Anolis sagrei: one gene and its partner. The protein of the gene in region 2 interacts with the protein of the main gene of each other region in a pairwise test. Links are inferred from orthologs where the notes say so. Each region holds a gene or a part of one and is shown on either strand. Other genes may lie near its edges.

Evidence for each region.
Region 1: the proteins of USP19 (region 2) and SIAH2 interact in a two-hybrid assay, tested with the Homo sapiens proteins (2 studies listed by BioGRID). The link is inferred for Anolis sagrei from reciprocal best matches to the Homo sapiens genes USP19 and SIAH2.

The regions. Positions count from the first base shown.
Region 1 is NC_090023.1:241,452,992-241,463,326, forward strand, and holds the start of SIAH2 (E3 ubiquitin-protein ligase SIAH2), read right to left. Parts: upstream 5,012-10,335; 5' UTR 4,540-5,011; coding exon 4,033-4,539; intron 1-4,032. UniProt on the Homo sapiens protein: E3 ubiquitin-protein ligase that mediates ubiquitination and subsequent proteasomal degradation of target proteins.
Region 2 is NC_090022.1:27,935,716-27,946,536, reverse strand, and holds the start of USP19 (ubiquitin carboxyl-terminal hydrolase 19), read right to left. Parts: upstream 4,843-10,821; 5' UTR 4,819-4,842; exon of another isoform or gene 4,640-4,818; intron 1-4,639. UniProt on the Homo sapiens protein: Deubiquitinating enzyme that regulates the degradation of various proteins by removing ubiquitin moieties, thereby preventing their proteasomal degradation. Stabilizes RNF123, which promotes CDKN1B degradation and contributes to cell proliferation.

The DNA of each region.
Region 1 (10,335 bases), on a different chromosome or scaffold from region 2:
AATTGGATTCAATTGCAGTCTTGAGCACAATTACCTTGTGCTGGAATAGAGACATTTTTCTGCAGAGTTTTCAAGGTTTTGTTTCCAGATCATAAGAAATGAAAGGATGCTATAGAATCCTTTTGAAAGTCAAGTTATCTCCATCTATTTGTATCCAACTGGCAATGAAACCATTGGAAAACGACAATCACCTCTATCAACCAATGATTCGGCCAGGTAAGTTATAATGAGTCTATAGCAGGCCTGGGCTATAGGTGCTGTGGCTGAAGTCCAAAACACATGGAGGGCCTAAGTTTGCCCATGCCTGCAATATATGGACACAGTCACTCTATTTGCCTGGCTCTTCCTTTCAAAGGATGACACAAGAAGAGCAGTACTGATCCTCACTTAAGTGGCTGAGGGGGGAAAGTAAGGGCCTGAGGCTGTTGGGAATGGTGGGAGTTGGAGTCCAAAACACCTGGAGAGCCCAAGTATGCCCAGGCCTGGTTTAGACTTTTTTTAAAGCTTCACACTGTTGACTCGTGTTCTGCTTGTGGTCTATCAAGACTCCTAAATCCCTTTCACATTGACTGTTTTCAAGCCAGGTGCCACCCATCCGATATTTGTACATTTTGTTTTCATTGCCTAAGTGTTGAAAGAAATTTTGTTAAGTTCTCTAGTCTGATCCTAAGCTCTGGGTTATACGCTATCCCACCCAATTTAGTGTCATCTGCACATCTGATAAGAATGCCTTGTATTTCGTTACCCAAGCTGTTGATACAGATGCTGAACAGCAGGACAGAACCCTGTGGTCTGGTCACTTCTTCCCATGATAAAGAGGAACCACGAGGGAGCCGCCTTTGTGTTTGGTCGCTCAACCAATCCCCAATCCACCTGACAGTTGCATGGTCCAGCCCACCTTTTCCTTGCCAATACAGGCAGTCCCCAAATTACAAGCAGGAGAGGTTCTGTAGGTTTGTTCTTAGGTTGAATTTGTATGTAAATCAAAACACTTACCTTTTTGAGTGTAAGTCCAGCCAAATATATATATATATATATATATATATATATATATATATATAGCTGTGGTTAGCATAGGGAAGGGTTAACATTCCTGTGGTGTTTGTTTTGCTCTTGATGACCCTGTTCAGAAGATTTCACCTCGCTTTCTGTCCCTGTGAGAACTGGATTTTGAAAAATTGGGCTTGTTGTGGAAACAAGGATTGGTGATAAATATGTTGTTGAAGGCTTTCAGGGCTGGAATCACTTGGTTGCTGTGCATTTTTCAGGCTGTATGGTCATGTTCCAGAAGCATTCTCTCCTGACGTTTCACCCACATCTATGGCAGGCATCCTCAGAGGGTGTGAGGTTCGCTGGAATACTAAGCAAGTGAGGTTTATATATCTGTGGAAGGCCCAAACACAAATCAAGGAACATGAAAGGCACTGCAGACTAAATCAACCAGAGAAGTTAGCCATGGCAGAGCACTTGATGAATCAACCTGGAAATAGCATATTATTTAAGAACACAGAACTGCTGGACCACTCTAACAACCACCATGTCGGACTACACAGAGAAGCCATTGAAATTCACAAGCATGTTGACAATTTCAACAGAAAGGAGGAAACCATGAAAATGAACAAAATCTGACTATCAGTATCAAAACAAACCTCTAAAAGAGGGACAGTAAATAGAGAGCAACACTCAATAAATAGGGTAATTCCAGACAAGAAAAATCAGGGCCAGCTAACACCTCCCAACAAAGGATTCCCTCAGGCAGGAATCAGCCAGGCTTTGGCGTTACAAGGTTAATAAGGTGGTCAATTGCAACATTCACACTTGCTTCTAACAGACAAGAGTTCTTTCTCTCACCCTGGACATTATTCCACAGATATATAAACCTCACTTGCCTAGTTTCCAACAGACCACTCAACCTCTAAGGATGTCTGCCATAGATGTGGATGGAATGTCAGGAGAGAATGCTTCTGGAACATGGCCACACAGCCCAGAAAATTCACAGCGCTCCTTGGTGATAAAGCTTGAGAGGAGACATTTTTTCCCAATGATAATAAGTCAACCAGGAGTGATTTGCCTTTCCTAGGGGTAGATTTCGATCACTTCCTACTGTTTCACCCCCATTCTTAATGGTGAGTTGGATGTTTGCAACTCAGGGACCATCTATATCTTTCTTGAATTGTGATGAAACAGCATCGCAGGTGAGGAAGTTCATAGAGTGGGGTGGGGATGACTTCTTAGATCTAGAGACCTGATAGATCAGGCCTGGGCCAACTTGGGCCCTTCAGGTGCTTTGGACTCCAACTCCCACTATTTCTAACAGCCTCTGACCCTTTTCTTTCCCCCCTCAGTCACTTAAGTGGTGCCTGAGGCTGTTAGGAATGGTGGGAGTTGGAGTCCAAAACACATGGAGGGCTAAAGTTTGCCCATGTCTCTTCTAGAGGGAACTCTTCTCTAGGCATTTAGACATCCTCCAGTGTGATTCTGTGGTTGTACAGGAGTTGGGCTGGAGGACCCAGAGAAATCTTCTGTCAGAAAAAAATGCATTTTAAAAAATGTGTTGTTTCTCCACTTTTGTGGGGGTCCTGTGCTGGAGGGCCCAAGTTCACCCATAAGTGGCTGAGGGGGAAAAGGAAGGGAGCTGAGGCTGTTAGGAAAGGTGGGAATTGGAGTCCAAAATACTTGGAGGGCCCAAGTTTGCCCATAATCTGCTGAGGGGAAAAAAGAAGGGGCCTGAGGCTGTTGGGAATGGTGGGAGTTGGAGTCCAAAACCCCTGGAGGGCCCAAGTTTGCCCAAGCCTGGGGTAGATGCACTCTATGCCTTACTGAATTCAGTGGGACTTGCAATTGGCCCTCTGCATCCACAGGTTGAACCTTCTGTGGATTGAGATCATATTTGTATCCAACAGACAATGATTGGAAAACAGCAATCACCTCTATCAACCAATGATTCAGTCAGGTAAGTTATAATGAGTCTATGGCAGGCCTAGGCTATGGGTGCTGTGTGGAAGTCCAAAACACCAGGAGGGCCCAAGTTTGCCCATGCCTGCAATATAGGGACACAGTCACTCTATTTGCCTGGCTCTTCCTTTCAAAGGATGACACAAGAAGAGCAGTACTGATCCTCGCTTAAGCGGCTGAGGGGGAAAAGGAAGGGGTCTGAGGCTGTTAGGAATGGTGGAAGTTGGAGTCCAAAACACCTGGAGGGCCCAAGTTGGCCCATAAGTGGCTGAGGGGGAGAAGGAAGGAGCCTGAGGCTGTTAGGAAAGGTGGGTATTGGAGTCCAAAACACCTGGACAGCCCAAGTTTTCCCATAAGCAGCTGAGAGGGGAAAGGAAGAGGCATGAGGCTGTTAGGAATGGTGGGAGTTGGAGTCCAAAACACCTGGAAGGTCCAAGTTTTCCATAAGCAGCTGAGAGGGGAAAGGAAGGGGCCTAAGGCTGTTAGGAACGGTGGGTATTGGAGTCCAAAACACCTGGAGGGCCCAAGTTGGCCCATAAGCGGCTGAGGGGGAGAAGGAAGGGGGCTGAGGCTGTAAGGAACGGTGGGTATTGGAGTCCAAAACACCTGGAGGTCCCAAGTTGGCCCATAAGCAGCTGAGGGGGAGAAGGAAGGGGCCTGAGGCTGTTGGGAATGGTGGGAGTTGGTGTCCAAAACACCTGGAGGGCCCAAGTTTTCCCATAAGTGGCTAGGGGAGGAGAAGGAATGGGGCTGAGGCTGTTAGGAATGGTGAGAGTTAGAGTCCAAAACACCTGGATGGCCCATTATTATTATTATTATTATTAGGAAGGGGCCTGAGGCTGTTAGGAAAGGTGGGTATTGGAGTCCAAAACACCTGGAGGGCCCAAGTTTGCCCATAAGCGGCTGAGGGGGAGAAGGAAGGGGCCTGAGGCTGTCGGGAATGGTGGGAGTTGGAGTCCAAAACACCTGGAGGGCCCAAGTTGGCCCAGGTCTGCTATAGGCGCAGCTTTGGGCTCCTGCTGAGCCTGAAAGTGCCCGAAGTGGTCAGAGCGCCTCCTCCCTCCCTCTCTGGCTTACCTTGCAGGGGAAGAGGACGGCCGAGGCCACCTTCTCCATGGCCAGGTTGCGGATGCTGGGGGTGAGCGACCCCCGGCACGTGGGGCAGCAGCTCAGCTTCTGCCGGCATTGGTTGCAGACCAGGTGCCCGGCCTGGCACTGCAGGATGGGCGGCAGCACGTAGTCGAAGCAGACGGGGCACTCGAAGAGCGAGGTCAGCTCGTGGTGCTGCGGGGACGAGGACGAGGAGGACGACGACACCGGGCCCCCTCCGCCGCCTTCCCCGCTGCCGCCGCCTCCCCCTCCTCCTGCTCCGGGGCTGGAGAGCCCGGCAGCGGTGCTGGGCAGGGCGGAGGAGCCGCCTCCGGCCGCAGAGATGGCGGCAGCGTTGTTGGTAGCGGGAGGCGCCGCAGCCGCTGCTGGAGACGGAGCCGGAGCGTGTGGTGGCGGCGGCGGCTGCTGCTGGGGCTGCTGCTGCTTGCCGCAGGTTTTGCTAGCGCTGGGTCCGGCGGAGGACGGGCGGCTCATCTCGGCCGGAGCCAACCATCGAAGGGCGCGAGGCAAGCAAGGGAAGGGAAGGGGACGCAACCCGAGGCGCGCGCTCCGGGGGGAGGGAGGGGAAAGCGAGCCAGATGTTGCCAAAACAACCCGTCAAATGGGAAGCTCCCAAAGAGGACGCAGCAGCCCCGTGCCGAGCAGAGCCCGCCGTCCAGCCCGAGCGCAGGGTCCTTCCCACTGCGCGTGGCTCCTTCTGGGCTTCTCTCCCCACCCCGGAACCTGGATCTGACGTCAGTGAAGGAGGGAAAGAGGGGGCGGCGTCGAAGCCACCCACCCAGCGCGCCCCAGACTGCGCCCGCGATCCTTGCCTGTCTCCAGGCGCAACCACAAGCACGCAGCGGCCACCTTCCCTGTCGCAAGAACCGCCTGCTTTGCCGCCGGGAAGGAAACGAGGAGGGAAGAGGCGAGCGATCTTCTAGAAGTCGGGTGGCGCAGCGGAGTCCCAATAATACGGCTTCCTTGAGCGCCACCTGCTGGCCAGTTGCCTCCCTGCCTGCTTGCCTGCAGCCCAGAGGCTTCCCAAACAGCTGTACTGTTGGGATGTTGTAGGTCAGCGCTTCCTAATAGTACAGTGATTCTCAACCTGAGGTCTCCACAGGGGCGGCTTGTCCATTACGCAAAGTAAGCGGTCGCAGAACACTTTTTTTTTTTGCCAGGGGCGCAGAGGCACCTCTGTAAATGCCCCTCCACCACCACTTGAGGAGCGCCCCCTCAGCTCACAACAGCCCTAGCAGTCCGGGGGGAGCCTCGGCTTTCTTGCCTCGCTGCCGGGCGATCCTCTTCTCAAAGGGGCCGGGCCCTTGAGCCTCGCCTCTCTCGTTCCTTCTCCACCTGGCCACCGGGTGTGCGAGCAGAACCGGCGCTCAATCGTTCTCCGTGTTCGATCCCTTCCCCATGACCGGCTCCCTTTCCCGATCCCCTGGCGCTCCACCCACCTCCTCTCCTCTCCCCAATCCGCGGGTAGGCCAAGGGGCTGAGCCGCCGCGCCTGGCTCGCTTCGGGTCCGGAGGCGTGTCTGAGACCCCAGTGTGCGCACCAAAAGTCGCCTCTTCTCCTGACTTTCTCTTCAGCCATTGGGACCAAGAGAGAGAGAGAGAGAGAGAGAGACCCTCCGGCTGGAGGTATCTCCCACCTCTGCTCCCTCCTTTGTTTTTGCGCCTACCTTCAGGAAAGGTGGGCATCTCCACCTCTGTCTCTCTCTCTCTCTTGGTCCCAATGGCTGAGGAGAAAGTCAGGAGAAGAGGTGACTTTTGGTGCACACGCCGGGGCATGCCTCCAGACCCAAAGCGGGCCAGGCAAGGGAGCAAGTGCAGCAAATGTAGTTACTAGGATGTATAGTTCACCTACAATCAAAGAGTATTCTGAACTCCACCAATGATGGAATTAAACCAAATATGGCACACAGAACTCCCACGACAAACAGAAAATATATATCAATGATTGGTTGGGGGGGGGGGGGAAATACTGTTTGCTTACCGTTGAAAATTACTTAGGGCCGCCTCTGGGTCCCCAGATGTTTTTGGTCTTCAACTCCCAGAAATCCTAACAGCTGGTAAACTGGCTGGGATTTCTGGGAGTTGTAGGCCAAAAACATCTGGGGACCCACAGGTTGAAAACCACTGTAATAGTATGATAGCTGGGTCTGGAAGCTCCAAGCATTACGGAGATGCCGCATCACTCCTTTGGGAGCGCTGTTTGGACAAGAGAGACTTAGCTAATGTAAGCCAGGTTGGAGACAAATAATATAGAAGGAATGTAAGAGTTCTTTGATGGTGAAACCCTAACCCGTTGTGTGTAGGTTTTTCGGGCTATATGGCCATGTAAAGAAGCATTTTCTTCTGACGTTTCACCTGCATCTATGGCACGCATTCTCAGAGGTTGTGATGTCTGTTTGAAACTAGGCCTGATCCTTAGTTTTTCCAAATTTCGTGTGTCTTGGAACAGTTTCTCCTCCTAGAGATGTTCAATGTATTGTCGAAGGCTTTCATGATTGGAATCACTGGTTGTTGTAGATTTTCCAGGCTGTATGGCCATGTTCTAGAAGCATTCTCTCCTGATGTTTCACCCACATTTATGGCAGGCATCCTCAGAGGTTGTGAGGTTTGTTGGAAACTAGGCCTGCTCCTTAGTTTTTCCAAATTTTGTGTGTCTTGGAACAGTTTCTCCCCTTAGAGATGTTCAATGTATTGTCGAAGGCTTTCATGGCTGGAATCACTGGGTTGTTGTAGTCTTTTCAGGCTATATAGGCATGTAATAGAAGCATTCTCTCCTGACATTTTGCCTGTATCTATGACAGGCATCCTCAGAGGTTGTGGGGTCTGTTGGAAACTAGGCCTGCTCCTTAGTTTTTCTTCTAGAACATGGCCATATAGCCTGAAAAACCTACAACAGCCCAACAGATGACTATCCGAACTCTGTTTACACAGTATTCCCAAGTCTCAATTCCCAATTGATGCTTAGGTACAACTCTTTGCCAGTATAGCTAAGAATGATGGGACTTGCAACCTAGTTGTGTTAGTGGTGAAACTGGAAAATCGCAGAGTTTGAGAAGACCGCAAGGCCAGTCAGTCCAACTCTATTATGCAGAAATAAACAATAGTGGCCTTTCAGCCTCTATTTACAAAGTTCCAGAGAAGGAGACCTCTCCACTTTCCAAGGCAGCATATTCCATGACTGAACAGCTCTTACCATCAAGAGATTCTTTCTAATGTTTAGGTGGAATCTCTTCTTATAGTTGGACTCCACTACTTTGCACTGTAATTTCTAGTGCAGCAGAAAACACTGTAGAATTAATGCACGTTAACTGCCATGGATCAATGCTACAGAGTCCTGGGAGTTGTGGTTTGAGAGTGCACTCTTGGGCAGAGAAAGCTAAAGACCTTCTAAAACTACAACTACCATAGTTCCATAGCATTGAGCCATGGCAAAGTGTTGTCAAAATGCATTATATCTTCGGTGTAAATGCACCCTTGGGTATGAAGCACCAGTTGCCAATCTTGCTTAAACTTCTCTGTTGTATCATCCATAATGAGAATTGTCAGTTTGTGCATTTCCTCTAGGTTGTACATCTTCAGCAGCCAATCCTCTATTATTTTAGTGCGCAAATTTAAGTTCAATGTGAAAGGATTTCCAGTTGTTTCAGTAGCATCTTGAATACACACTGTTAAATCAATTTAGTTTGCAACAATTACCAGTAAAACTATTTAGTTTCTTGTCATGAAACTGTTACCTGCAAATTCAGGGACACCAAAATATTTCTGATGGTTATTTGACAAATGATACAATACTTACACAAGATGTTGTTGATGTTCTTTCCTCCAACAGGAAGTAAACAGAATGAGAGCAAAACCAATCCAGGGACAGCAATGGTTCTGATTTATTGCAGAGATACTTTTTTGTGACAGCTGGGTCAGTTCTGGGAAAAGATATTTGTTTGGACTGTAGCTCCAAGTGACCCTGTTGGCTGGGAGCATTGTGAGCTGAAGTTTCAAAAAGTGCTTGAAACTTTGGCCAATTCAAACCTGACCATTGTGTTTACAGATCTGGAAGGCAAAAGCATTCAGTTGAATGAACAGCATTAATCTGAGTGTCCCAACACTTGACTTGGCTGAGGTTATATCTCTTTTCTGATTTTCCCATTTTCCTGTGCATTTAACCATTCTTACTGAAGAAGTGAGTCATGTTAGCAGTGGTTTAAGTGGATGTGAAATAATTGTTCTGGATCCACTCAGAAATAGGTTGCTGGCTTTTAGATTGAGCTTCCACAAAGAATAGAATGTAGATCAGGACAAACTTTGGCTCTCCAGGTGTTTTGGACTTCAGCTCCTACAATTCCTAACAGCCTCAGACCTCTTCCTTTCCCCCCTCAGCCATTTAAATGAAAAGGACCTGAGGCTGTTTGGAATTGTGGGAGTTGAAGTCCAAAACACATGGAGGGCTGAAGTTTGCCCATGCCTGATGTAAATGGTATTTTGTGACTAGGTAACAGATGGAAAGACAACCAATGAGGTGTAGTAGCTTGAGCATTGGACTACAACATTGGTAAACCAGGGTTGAAATCTGTGCTCAGTGGAAACTCACTGGGTGATTTTGGTCAAGTCACACATGCATCCAGAGAAGGAAAAAGGCAAACTCCCTCTGAACAAACCTTGCCAAGAAAAATCCATGATAGGTTCACCATAAGTCAGAAATACATTTCAGGCACACAATAACAGCAGATTGGGTATCCTGTCTCTAACTCAGGTATAGATTTATTTTGGCGTGGGAGTCAAGAGGCCCTCTAGATGTTGTTGGACTGTAAAACATAGTATTTGTCTCCATTGACACTATTGGTTTGAACTCTTCTGATGAGCTGACTGTAATGACTGTAATAAAGTGAACTTGAACTTGAACTCTTGGAAATTACAGTTCAAAATCATCTCAAGTGCTGTACAATTCCCATTCTGATCTACCTTTGTGCCTTTACTACAGAAGACACTAGATAATCTCCTCCCAATGTGGCCACTTAACACCCCACAGAAAAAGAGAGAACATAGATTTGCACAGCATTCTGAGATGTATGTACAGACATAAATTTAAAAGCAATAATTGTTATTATTTAAAAAGCAACAAAAATGAGGTCTCTGTGAACCTTAATCACTAATGCAATTCATCTGGTGTATGGTTTCATGGACTTCAAACTCATTCTCATAGGTGAGGAATGTGGCCTTGGATGCAAAGAAAGCTGCAAAGGTCATGCATGTTTGGGTGGGGAGATAATAATTAGGGAGATAAAAGAACTCAAAATACAAACAATGTCAAAAGTAGCTTAACAATGATAATTAACAAATAGTAGCAAACCGGTTACACAGATATTTCCGTATTGAAAAGGTCATAACTATATGTGCTATTTTTTTAAAAGTTTGCCCACATGTAGGATATAATGGTGAATATCTTGAGGAATCTTCTAGAACATGTTGAGAGAGAATTATGTATTTCCAAATAGCAGCACATATTGGGGATAATGGATCATGACCTGTTAGGATCACAGACCATCAGGGGAGCAGAGCTTATTTGGTTATGAATGATCACTGGGCATGTAGATATTTTGTTTCTGTTTGGTGCTTTCAGCAGACAATGATGCAAGCAGACTTCTTTTAAAGATAACAAGGTTTGTTTACTGATAACTTCATGTATTTAAAGATACAGGCACATTTCTTGTCAAGGGTGAAATACTTCAGTAACATTTCAGAGAGTTTGTATCTTGAACTTATAATCTTTAACAGTTTCTTCAAAGACTATGCTGCTTTATACAGCTCTCTTTAGTAAGAGTTTACTTTCAAATAAAGCACAAGCCTCAACAGTTTCTTACTTTCTAACATGAGCTTCTGATGGTCTCTTGCATTGTGGTGCCCAGAATTGGACACAGTAGTCCAAGTGTGGTCTAACCAAGGCAGAATAGAGTTTCTGACCCATTTCCAAGATCCATGGCTTCATTACTGTAGAACAGGCATGGGCAAACTTTGACCCTCCAGGTGTTTTGGACTTCAACTCCCACAATTCCTACCAGCCTTTAAGAATTATGGGAGTTGAAGACCAAAACACCTGGAGGGCTGAAGTCTGCCTATGCCTGCCATAGAAGATTCAGGGTTTGGATTTTTTGGCTGATGTACATTATGGATCCTATTTTAGGTTAGTCCCTGATTTTGCTTATCCTGGTTTAAGGTGTCTAACATGCATTCCTATCTGCATTTGCACTATGCGTAATTTAAACTGTTTTTTGAACTG
Region 2 (10,821 bases):
GCAATTTATCAGAACCAGAACTGTGAACAACAACCAGATATATATATAAGAAAGACTGTTAATTGTTTTGAAGGGATATTTGATTGGGATCACAAAACTATAGCTTTAGAAGGAATGGCAAGTCAAATCCGCAGTAAGTACAAAAATCTATATCTACAGCATTTCTAAAATGTAGCCATCTATTTTCTTTTTTTAAAAGTGCCAAAACCAGAGAGTTTATCGCCTTCTGAAGTGATCTGCTATACTGTCAGATTGTTTTTAGCATTTGGAAATTCTTCCTAATGTTTAGTTGGGCCTGGGGTAGCTAACAAGACTCTACAAAATTATGGGGATTAGGGATACAGGATCCCCATGAAAGTAAACAAAAAGCTAATTGCTCTAACGTCCACCTCCCACTTTTTGTCCAGCCCAGGCCTTTCTTGGGTGCATCAGTTTGTATTTAAGTCCTTCACTGCCCATCTTCTTCTTCCCCACTCACTTCTCCCTGAATCACCCAGTCTCATCTCCTTCCTCAACACTGCAGAATCCACCGCACATAATCCCACAAGTCTAAGTCTGAATTTAAACTGGTGGTCAGTCAGGAGCTGAAGGAGTCAGCAGAGGAAAGAGGCAGATTTGTGTGGAAATTAAATTCCCGCTGACACTTGTGTTGGAATGATGAGCTACGGCTGAGTGTGTGTGACTCACGAGGATTCAAACCCTGGTCTCTAGTCCATCATATAAATCTCACCACCATGCTGGGTCTATGGATACTCTACAGGCATTATTGTACTAATTTTAATTTGTATGTTCCATTGAGTGCCAGTTTTGGGGGAATGGTTGGATATTAAGAAAGATAATAACAACAGCAATAACATCTTCTTTAATGTAAGAGTTTTAGGCCCGCCCTCTCGAGTTGCAAAAGAAAAAAGAACTTAATCCATTTAGTCACTGATTGTTCTAAACCACTCAACAAATTGTCTCTAGCTGCAGAATATGTGGCAGAAGAATTGAGGTATGCAGTAAAACAAGTGGAAAATAAGGATGAATAAGCATAGAAAAGCAGGTTCCCTTTCAAAAGCTAGTTTGATCATCCCAAAACAAATGGAATAGAATCCTAAATCAATGAATATTAAATAAAAATGAGCAGGAGTCATTATCACAACACAAATAAAACTAAACATTCTCCAATACTTAAACAAATAATGTTAAGAAAAGAGAATCAAGTACCTATTTTCATGTCAATTCATTTATTTAGAGAAATTCTACAAATACCATGGACCACCAACAAAACAAACAGGCAGGTCTTAGAAGCAATCAAATTTGAAGTCTCCCTTAAAGGCAGAAAATAACTGAACCAAGGTTATTATACTCTGGACACATCACGAGATGACACGACTCACTAGAAAAGATGTAAATGCTTGGTAAAGTGAAGGTAGTACACTAGGCACTCCATTTCCATGTGAGTTAGGGACATATCCTAATACAAAAGCTGTGAATAAAAAACCCGCTAATTTTCTTATGTGAGAGAACAGATCTTTATGAATCTCTAGGTCCTCCAGGGCTATTCAATTGTCAACTTTTGGAGGACCAATAGATTCCTAGAGATAATGTTTTAATGAAATCTGCAAAAAATCACATCTACAAAAATTAAACCTGCACATGTGGAGGGCCCATCTCAAATCAAATTGCTGGTGGGTTGACTCAATCAAGAAAGACAGGGCTCTAAGTCTGCAAGACCAGAGCTGGGCAATTAATAACCAAGTCTCTTGGAGATCTCTAATTCATAGCGTCATCATATGTCCAAAACAAATTAATGAAGCACAACCACAATGCCAATTCCATAATACACACCAGCATGAGAATGGAAAAAGCTAACAATATTTGAAATGTTTTCCAGCTGCTCAGAAAATCAGCATATTAATGTCACAAAAACCTTAGCCTCATGCATGACAACTTTAGAATGCAAGCCAGTCAACCATATTTGTTCAATAATTTCTCACAGTTGATGTAAGGCACTATATAAACACTAACAGTTAAAGTCTGTGCCTATCCACTTGGAAATAAGTCCCACTACATTCAACAGGGCTTTCTTCCAAATAAAGATTGCATAACTACAAAAGACTTTCAGTTAACTGGCACTATGGGGATTGGTAGATACTGGATAAATATAGTTTCTAGTTGCTTGAGAGTTACTATTAAAAAATAGACCTAACTAAAATAAAATCTCTATTGCCTCAATATTAATATTGAATACTGTAATGAAAAGCAAATTAAGACAAAGACAAACTTAATGTAACACAATTTTACTGTATTATACAAAAAGCTTTCTAAATGTTATTATTTCTTTGATTCCTTTTGCCAGTTGCTTGAGAGTTCTGGTTGCTTGAGTTCCAGGGCCCTTCCAGACAGGCCCTGATCCCAGGGTTTCTGCTTTAAACTGGATTATATGAGTCCCTACTGCCAGATAATTTGGGATAAACAGAAAATCTGGGATCAGGTCCTGGGATATAGGGCCTGTCTGGAAGGGCCTTGAGAGTCTACAGTATTACTAACTGCCCCTAGGAAACCAAATCTGGCCAACATTAAACTCAAATGTATCACAAGGATAAACAAAAATTATACAATCTGGAAAAAAAAATTTATAGGAAATTAAAGACCCTATTAACCTGAAGGACAATTCAAATTCAACAAAAGTTTCAAGTCCTCTTTTAGTTGCTATGACCCAAATCATTACAATCTGCTGTAACATTGGTTTCGGTTGCGGTTCAATGGGATCTCTTCGGACTTCTCACCTACTGGCCTGCATTAGATATGCCACTGCAACCTCTACTGCCTGTTTTTTAAAAAGTCTTATTGGGAAAGAACAGAAATACAACTCTTCAGTTTTATGCCCAATGAGATACAGCTTTGCTCCAGAGAACTATATGTGGATAGTAACATAGAATAGTAGCCTCGATGCAGGTGAAACATCGGGAGAGAATGCCACTGGAACATGGCTATACACCCTGAAAAACTCACAGCAACCCAGTGATTCCACCCAGGAACGTCTTCGACAACACAAAGCGATGTATCTGGCTCAATACACTTCTCACACATTAGGGGAAAATGTTCTTATGGAGAAGCAGCTAAGCAAGATGCTGTTCTAATTTTTTCTTTAACATGGAAGGATCATTTTTAGCAACAATCTTCAATGCACCTAAGGAGCTATCTGAGGGGCCCTTCCACATAGCCCTATAACCCAGAATTTCAAGACAGAAAATCCCACAATATCTGGGTTATCAGAGTCTACGCCACCATATATTCCAGTTCAAAGCAGAAAATGTGGGATTTTATTCAGCTGTGAGGGAGGACTCTGAGTCCACTTTGGGGAGATAAAATGGGGTATAAATAAATATAAATAATAATAATAATAATAATAATATCTGTGCAAATGAAAACCAGGGTCGACCCCTTTGGAATGCAATCCGTATTTTTTCTCCAGTTTGTAGAAACACTTTTATTTATTATTTAAAATTATTATTTATTTAAAACTTTTATATCACGATCTTCTCTACCTCTGCAGAGGGACTCAGACTGGCTAACAGCAAGGATTCAATGCTAACACTGAGAATCTAGGCATAATACACAATATTAAATTATCAATTAGATATAAAAATTACATAGGTAAAGGTTGTCCCCTGACATTAAGTCCAGTCATGTCTGACTCTGGGGTGTGGTGCTCATCTCCATTTCTAAGCCGAAGAGCCGGCGTTGTCCATAGACACCTCCAAAGTCATGTGGCCGGCATGACTGCATGGGGCGCCATTACCTTCCCACCAGAGCGGCACCTATTGATCTACTCACATTTGCATGTTTTCGAACTGCTAGGTTGGCAGAAGCTAGGGCTGACAATGGAAGCTCACACCGCTCCCCAGAATCGAACCTGTGACCTTTTGATCAACAAGCTCAGCAGCTCAGTGCTTTAACCCACTGCGCCACCAGGGGCTCCAAAAATTACATAGGTTACATAAAATTACATAGAAGCCGTTCACCAATATAAAATCATGTCCAACTCAATCCGTATGTCCAGCCCATATATTGTGATCAGTACCAATAGTCGATTGCTGGCCTCAAACATCATTCCGCAAAAGCACTGTTGCACAGCCAGCTTCCTAAAGGTCAGGAGGGAGGGGGCAGATCTAATTTCATTTGGGAGGGAATTCCATAGCTGAGGGGCCACCACAGAAAAGGCCCTGCAGAAAGTAAAAGCCCTTGCAGAGAGTCAAGGGCGGTACACCACCTTGTGTCTCTGATGATTGGAGAGGGCAGGTACCGCAGGCCTAGGCAATCCAGGTTTTTTGGACTCCAACTCCCACAATTCCTAACAGCCTTTAAGCAGCAGAGGGGGGAAGAGAAAGAGTCTGAGTTTGTTAGGAATTGTGGGAGTTGGAGTCCAAAACAACTGGAGGGCCCAAGTTTGCCCAGGCCTGTATTAAACGACCTGCGTTGTTGCATAAAGCGCCTCAGGAGGGCCTTTTCAGGCCAGCAAGGTTCCTGAGAGTAGCCTTAGAGACGCCTCGTTAAGGCCATTGCGTTTCTTTTGAGGCCTTCCCTCCCTGCCTCCCTCCCTCGAGGCCCCACCTTCCCTGGACTCGGTTCCGCCCTCGGCGCCACTCACCGACCGGCTCCCTCCTCCTCCTCCTCCTTCCCTCCCAAGAGGCCCCGTCCGGCTGCCTGCCCTCCTGCCTGCCTGCCTGCCTGCCCACCCCCGCGGTTTGTTTGGTTTCGAACCGAAAGAGTTCCGAGCGGGCGGCCTCTGAGGGAGCCCAGGCAGGCAGGCCCCAGCTCGTGACGTACTTCCGGCAGCCGGCACCGCTACAGGCACCACGTGACACCGCGTCGGCGCGTAGAGGACGCAGAGTATCGAGAGGGAGGTACGGGAGGGGGGTGAGTCTCTGTGTGAGGGAGCACGCATGCGCAGGAGAGGGGTTCCGCGGGGCCCGCGACGTCACGCGGCGCAACCATGGCAACCAGGCTCTAAATATATAAGTAGGCTGGGTGGGAACACGAAACCGTGCAGGCCTCTCTCTCTCTCACCCAGAATATCAAGGCAGAAAATCTCACAATATCTGCTTTGAACTGGGTTATCTGAGCCCACACTGCCATATATCCCAGTTCAAAGCGAGATAATGTGGGATTTTATCCAGCCTTGTGGAAAGGGCCACAGATAACCCAGTTATCCTTGGTTAGACCACATCTGGAATACTGTGCCCAATTCTGGGAGATGTTGATGTGGAATGTGTCCAGAGGAGGGCAACTAAAATGATCAAGGGTCTGGAGAACAAACTCTATGAGGAGTGGCTTAAGGACCTGGGCATGTTTAGCCTGAAGAAGAGAAGGCTGAGAGGAGATATGATAGGTAAAGGTAAAGGTAGTCCCCTGACATTAAGTCCAGTCATGTCTGACTCTGTGGTGTGGTGCTCATCTCCATTTCTAAGCCGAAGAGCCAGCGTTGTCCGTAGACACCTCCAAGGTCATGTGGCCGGCATGACTGCATGGAGCGCCGTTACCTTCCCGCCGGAGCGGTACCTATTGATCTACTCACATTTGCATGTTTTCAAACTGCTAGATTGGCAGAAGCTAGGGCTGACAGCGGAAGCTCACGCCGCTCCCCGGAATCGAACCTGTGACCTTTCGATCAACAAGCTCAGCATCTCAGTGCTTTAACCCACTGTGCCACCGGAGGCTCTGGAGATATGATAGCCAGGTATATATGTGAGAGGAAGCCACAGGGAGGAGGGAGCAAGCTTGTTTTCTGCTTCCTTGGAGACTAGGACGCGGAACAATGGCTTCAAACTACAAGAGAGGAAATTCCATCTGAACACAAGGAAGAACTTCCTGACTGTGAGAGCCGTTCAGCAGTGGAACTCTCTGCCCCGGAGTGTGGTGGAGGCTCCTTCTTTGGAAGCTTTGAAACAGAGGCTGGATGGCCATCTGTCAGGGGTGATTTGAATGCAATATTCCTGCTTCTTGGCAGGGGGTTGGACTGGATGGTCTATGAGGTCTCTTCCAACTCTATGATTCTCTGAGATGTTGATGTGGAATGTGTCCAGAGGAGGGCGACTCAAATGATCAAGGGTCTGGAGAACAAGCCCTATGAGGAGCAGCTTAAAGAGCTGTGCATGTTTAGCCTGAAGAAGAGACGGCAGGAAGAAGATACTGTGACGGCGCAGTATCTCCTGTAGAACTGTGGAACTGTTAGTTGCAAGATTTAAACTGTTGTATCATGCTTAATCCCGCCTTTTTACCCTGCTTATGTATAGTTGGATTGATTGCTTATTTATAGCTGTCAATCAGTGTTGTTTGCATCTGTTGAATTGCTTTCTCAAGCTCAATTGTTTGGCTCCACCTCTTCCTGGAGGAGGGGAGTGCTTCCTCCTGTTTTCATTCTGCCATCAGAGTTTCTATCAGATGGACTTGAGTAAGAGACTTGGCTCTAATAGCCCCTGATTAAATTACCTCTCAGCACCAATTCTAAGGTTTTTTACCCTTGGGACTCATGCTTTATGTCCAGATTGTCCTGGACAACATTGAGGAGACCCAAGTGCCTTCAAACCGGTTCTTTTGGCACCAGAGGAAGGTCTTGTCCCTTCAACATAGGCCATTGGACTGGGGTTGTGTTTATTCCGATATTCACAGCCATTGAGGAAAGAGGAAACAGGAAAAGCTTCTCAGCTGCAAACTCCTTGGACTTCAGAGATTGTAAAGTATATTTCCTTTATCCCTGTTGAAACATCAAGCTTATGCCTGAGAAAGATAACTCATTGTGAACAATGAATACAATTTCGAGTTATCTGTTGTGTTTTGGTCTTTGGGAGTTCCAGTTTCCTATAGGAGGGCAAGAAGCAATCCCCTGGGGAAAGATGCCACGTCCATGCCTCTTTCACTAAGAGTTATAGCCCGCAGGCGCGACGGCACAGATACGATAGCCATGTATAAATACGTGAGGGGAAGGCCTAGGGAGGATGGAGCAAGCTTGTTTTCTGCTGCCCTGGAGACTAGAATGCGGAACAATGATTTCAAACTACAGGAAAGAAGATTCCACCTGAACATTAGGAAGAACCTCCTGACTGTGAGAGTTGTTCAGCAATGGAACTCTCTGCCCCAGAGTGTAATGGAGGCTCCTTCTTTTGAGGCTTTTAAACAGAGGCTGGATGCTCAGGGGTGCTTTGAATGCAATTTTCCTGCTTCTTGGCAGGGGGTTGAACTGGATGGCCCATGAGGTCTCTTCCAACTCTATGATTCTATTATTTATTTGTTATTTATTTATTTATTTACAGTATCTATATTCCTCCCTTCTCACCCCACAGGGGACTGGGGGCAGATTACAATGCACATCTACATGGCAAGCATTCAGTGCCATTAGACATACAACATATATAGATAGACACAGAGGCAGTTTAACATTCCAGCTTTCCGGCTTCATGAGGTTATGCTCGATTCTGGCCACGGGGGGGGGGGGGGGGGCTGCCGCTTCTCCGACCTCCTGTGACACCGAGTCCTTGATGGAGCACTTCCTCATTCTTCTGCATGCTGCTGGAAGGTTTTATGGTGTCGTAAATTAGTCTCCCCGCATAGAGCGGTACCTAAATTTCCTACTTGACAGATGCAACTGTCTTTCAGGCTGCACAGGTCAACAGCAAGCTAGACTATTAATGGTCGGGAGCTCCCTCCGACACAGGTTGGCTTCGAACTCATGACCTCTCAATCAGGAGTGATTTAATGCAGCTGGCTACTAACTAGCTGCACCACAGCCCGGATTTTCTGCTTTAATATTCTGCATTCAGTGTCTGTGTGAAAGGGCTTTCCTACCAGGCCCTATATCCCAGGATCTGATCCCACGTTTTCTGTGCATTCCAGATTATCTGGAAGTGCGGACTCATTTATGTCATCAGTTGGGGGTCCCTCCCCCCAGCACCAACTGCGGCTCTGGGCCAGAGTGAAGAGAGAGGAGGCCAAAAGACAGTTCCACCTTGTCTCCTGTGCTATGCTAATAATATAATATAATGTGATGTAATACAATATAATACTACTAATAATATATTATAAATATATATTTTATATTACATGTAATATTACTAATAATATTACAATATAATGGTATAGTATGATATAGTAATATATAATACTGATATTGTACTATACTAATATATAAAATATTGTGTGTGTGTGTGTGTGTATGTGTGTGTGTGTGTATAAGCCGCTCTGAGTCTCCCCTTCAGGGTGAGAAGGGCAACATATAAATGTCGTAATTAATTAATTAATTATATAAAATCTGGCTTAAAGCAGAAAACCTAGAATCGGATCCTCGTATATAGGGCCTGCCTCGAGTCCACACTGCCGTATTACCCAGTTCAAAGCAGATAATGTAGGATTTTGTACAACTGTGTGGAAGGGGCCTTTGTATATTTCAACACTGGGTCATACTGTGAAATACATACATGGCCTGCTTCTGTACTCAGGCCCCATCTCCACCACTATACAATGCATTTTAACTACATTGGACCGGATTATATGGCCATGTGGGCTCATCTAATCCTGCTCAATATGATTAAACTAAATTCTGAAGCTATATAGATGAAGACACACTAGATGCATGTACACTGTGGAATGAATGCAGTTTGAAGTCACTTTAACTGCCCTGGCTCAATGCTATCAGATCCTGGGAGTTTTACAAGGTTTTTAGCCATCTCTGCCAAAGGGGACTTCACTAAACTACAAATCCCCAAAGTCCATAGTCTTGAGCCATGGCATTATGTCTACAGTATAATATGTACCCAGAAAGACACCTTCGCTTTGGTGTACTGAAGCACTTTCATGCACAAAGTAATTAAAAATATTGTATAAGAAATTGCCTTTGAGTTATGTGTACAAGGTGCTTGTGAAGTCAAATTGATTTCGTGTTAAGACTTGGTTTCCATCTCCCATGATATCTCATTATGCACATATATAAACAAACACAGGTATTCCAGAATTTAGAAAAGAAATGTGAACTCCAGTGTGGAAGTCGCATGGTTCGCAGTCGGGTCTTCGGAAAAATCAGAACTAATCATAGACTTAGAAAAGACACCCCAAAGGCCATTGAGTCCAACCCCATTCTGCCATGTAGGAATACACAAAGTCTCCACAACAAATGAATTTCAAGAAACATAGGATATTACACTTCGGTGGCAAAAAATGGAAATGCATAGATACAGGATGGGTGATGCCTGGCTCAACTTCAGTCCAAGTGAAAAAGATCTTGGGAGTCGTAGTTGAACATGACCCAGTATGATGCAACAACTTAAAAAGCCAATGGGAATTTTGGGCTCCATCAAGATCAAGGGAAGTTATGTTGCCTCTATATTCTGCTTTAGTTAGACCTTATTTGGAGTGCTGTGTCTAGTTCTGGGCACCATAGGTGAAAAGAGATATCAACAAGCTGGAAGGTGTTCAGAGGAGGGCGACTAAAACGATCAAAGGCCTGGTGACCATCAATACCCATGAGAAGTGGCTCAAAGAACTGGGTATTTTTAGCTTGCAGAAGAGGAGGTTGAGAGAAGACAGGATATCCATGTATAAAATATGTGAAAGGATGTCATAAGGAAGAGGGAGCAGGCTTGTTTTCTGCTGCCCTGGAAACTAGGACAAGAAAGAAGATTCCACCTGAATATTAGGAAGAACTTCCTGACTGTTAAGTGCTGTTCAGTGGTGAAACTCACTGCCTCGGAGTGTGGTGGAAACTACTTCTTTGGAGGATTTAAACAGAAGATGGATGGCCATTTTTCGTGGGGTGCTTTGATTATACTTTTCATGCATGGCAGGGGGTTGGACTGGATGGCACATTTGGTTTCTTCCAACTCTATGATTCTATTATTATGGGTTGGCTTTCAAGAATCCCATCTGACCAGAAAGGATTCTTATCATGTTATTTTGTTGCTGCCTCATAACCCCTTCCTATCTCATTGGTCTATCTGTTTCATCCTATGTGTAACACTTTGAACCACATTTAGGAATCCAAGGCCAAAATGTTTCTTTTGCATATGTAAAGGTAAAGGTTTCCTCTGACATTAAGTCTAGTCATGTCTGACTCTAGGGGATGGTGCTCATCTCCATTTCTAAGCCAAAGAGCTGGCGTTGTCCATAGGCACCTCCAAGGTCATGTGTGATCTACTCACATTTGCATGTTTTCGAACTTCTAGGTTGGCAGAAGCTGGGGCTAACAGCGGGAGCTCCCCATGCTCTCCGGATTCGAACTGCCGACCTTTCGGTCAGCAGCTCAGCGGTTTAACAAATGGTAATGAGTTGTGCAGGTTTTAATCCGATAAGGACTGGGTTGTGGCGCAGCTAGTTACTAGCCAGTTGCACTGACCAAGAGATCATGAGTTCGAAGCCAGTCCGGGTCAGAGTAAGCTCCCAACCATTAATGGTCTAGCTTGCTGTTGACCTATGCAGCCCGAAAGGCAGTTGCATCTGTCAAGTAGAAAATTTAGGTACCACTTTATGCAGGGAGGCTAATTTAACTAATTTACAATGCCATAAAACCCTCCAGCAGCATGCAGAAGAATGAGGAAGTAAGTATTCCATCAAAGGATCCTGTGTCACAAGTGGATGGTGAAGCGGCAGCTCCCCCTGTGGCCGGAACCAAGCATACCATCATGAAGCTGGAAAAAACTGGAATGTTAAATTGCCTCTGTGTCTGTCTATATATGTTGTATGTCTAAATGGCATTGAGTGTTTGCCATGTATATGTGCATTGTAATCCGCCCTGAGTCCCCTGCAGGTTATAAATACTACAAATAAATAAATATTGTTTAATGT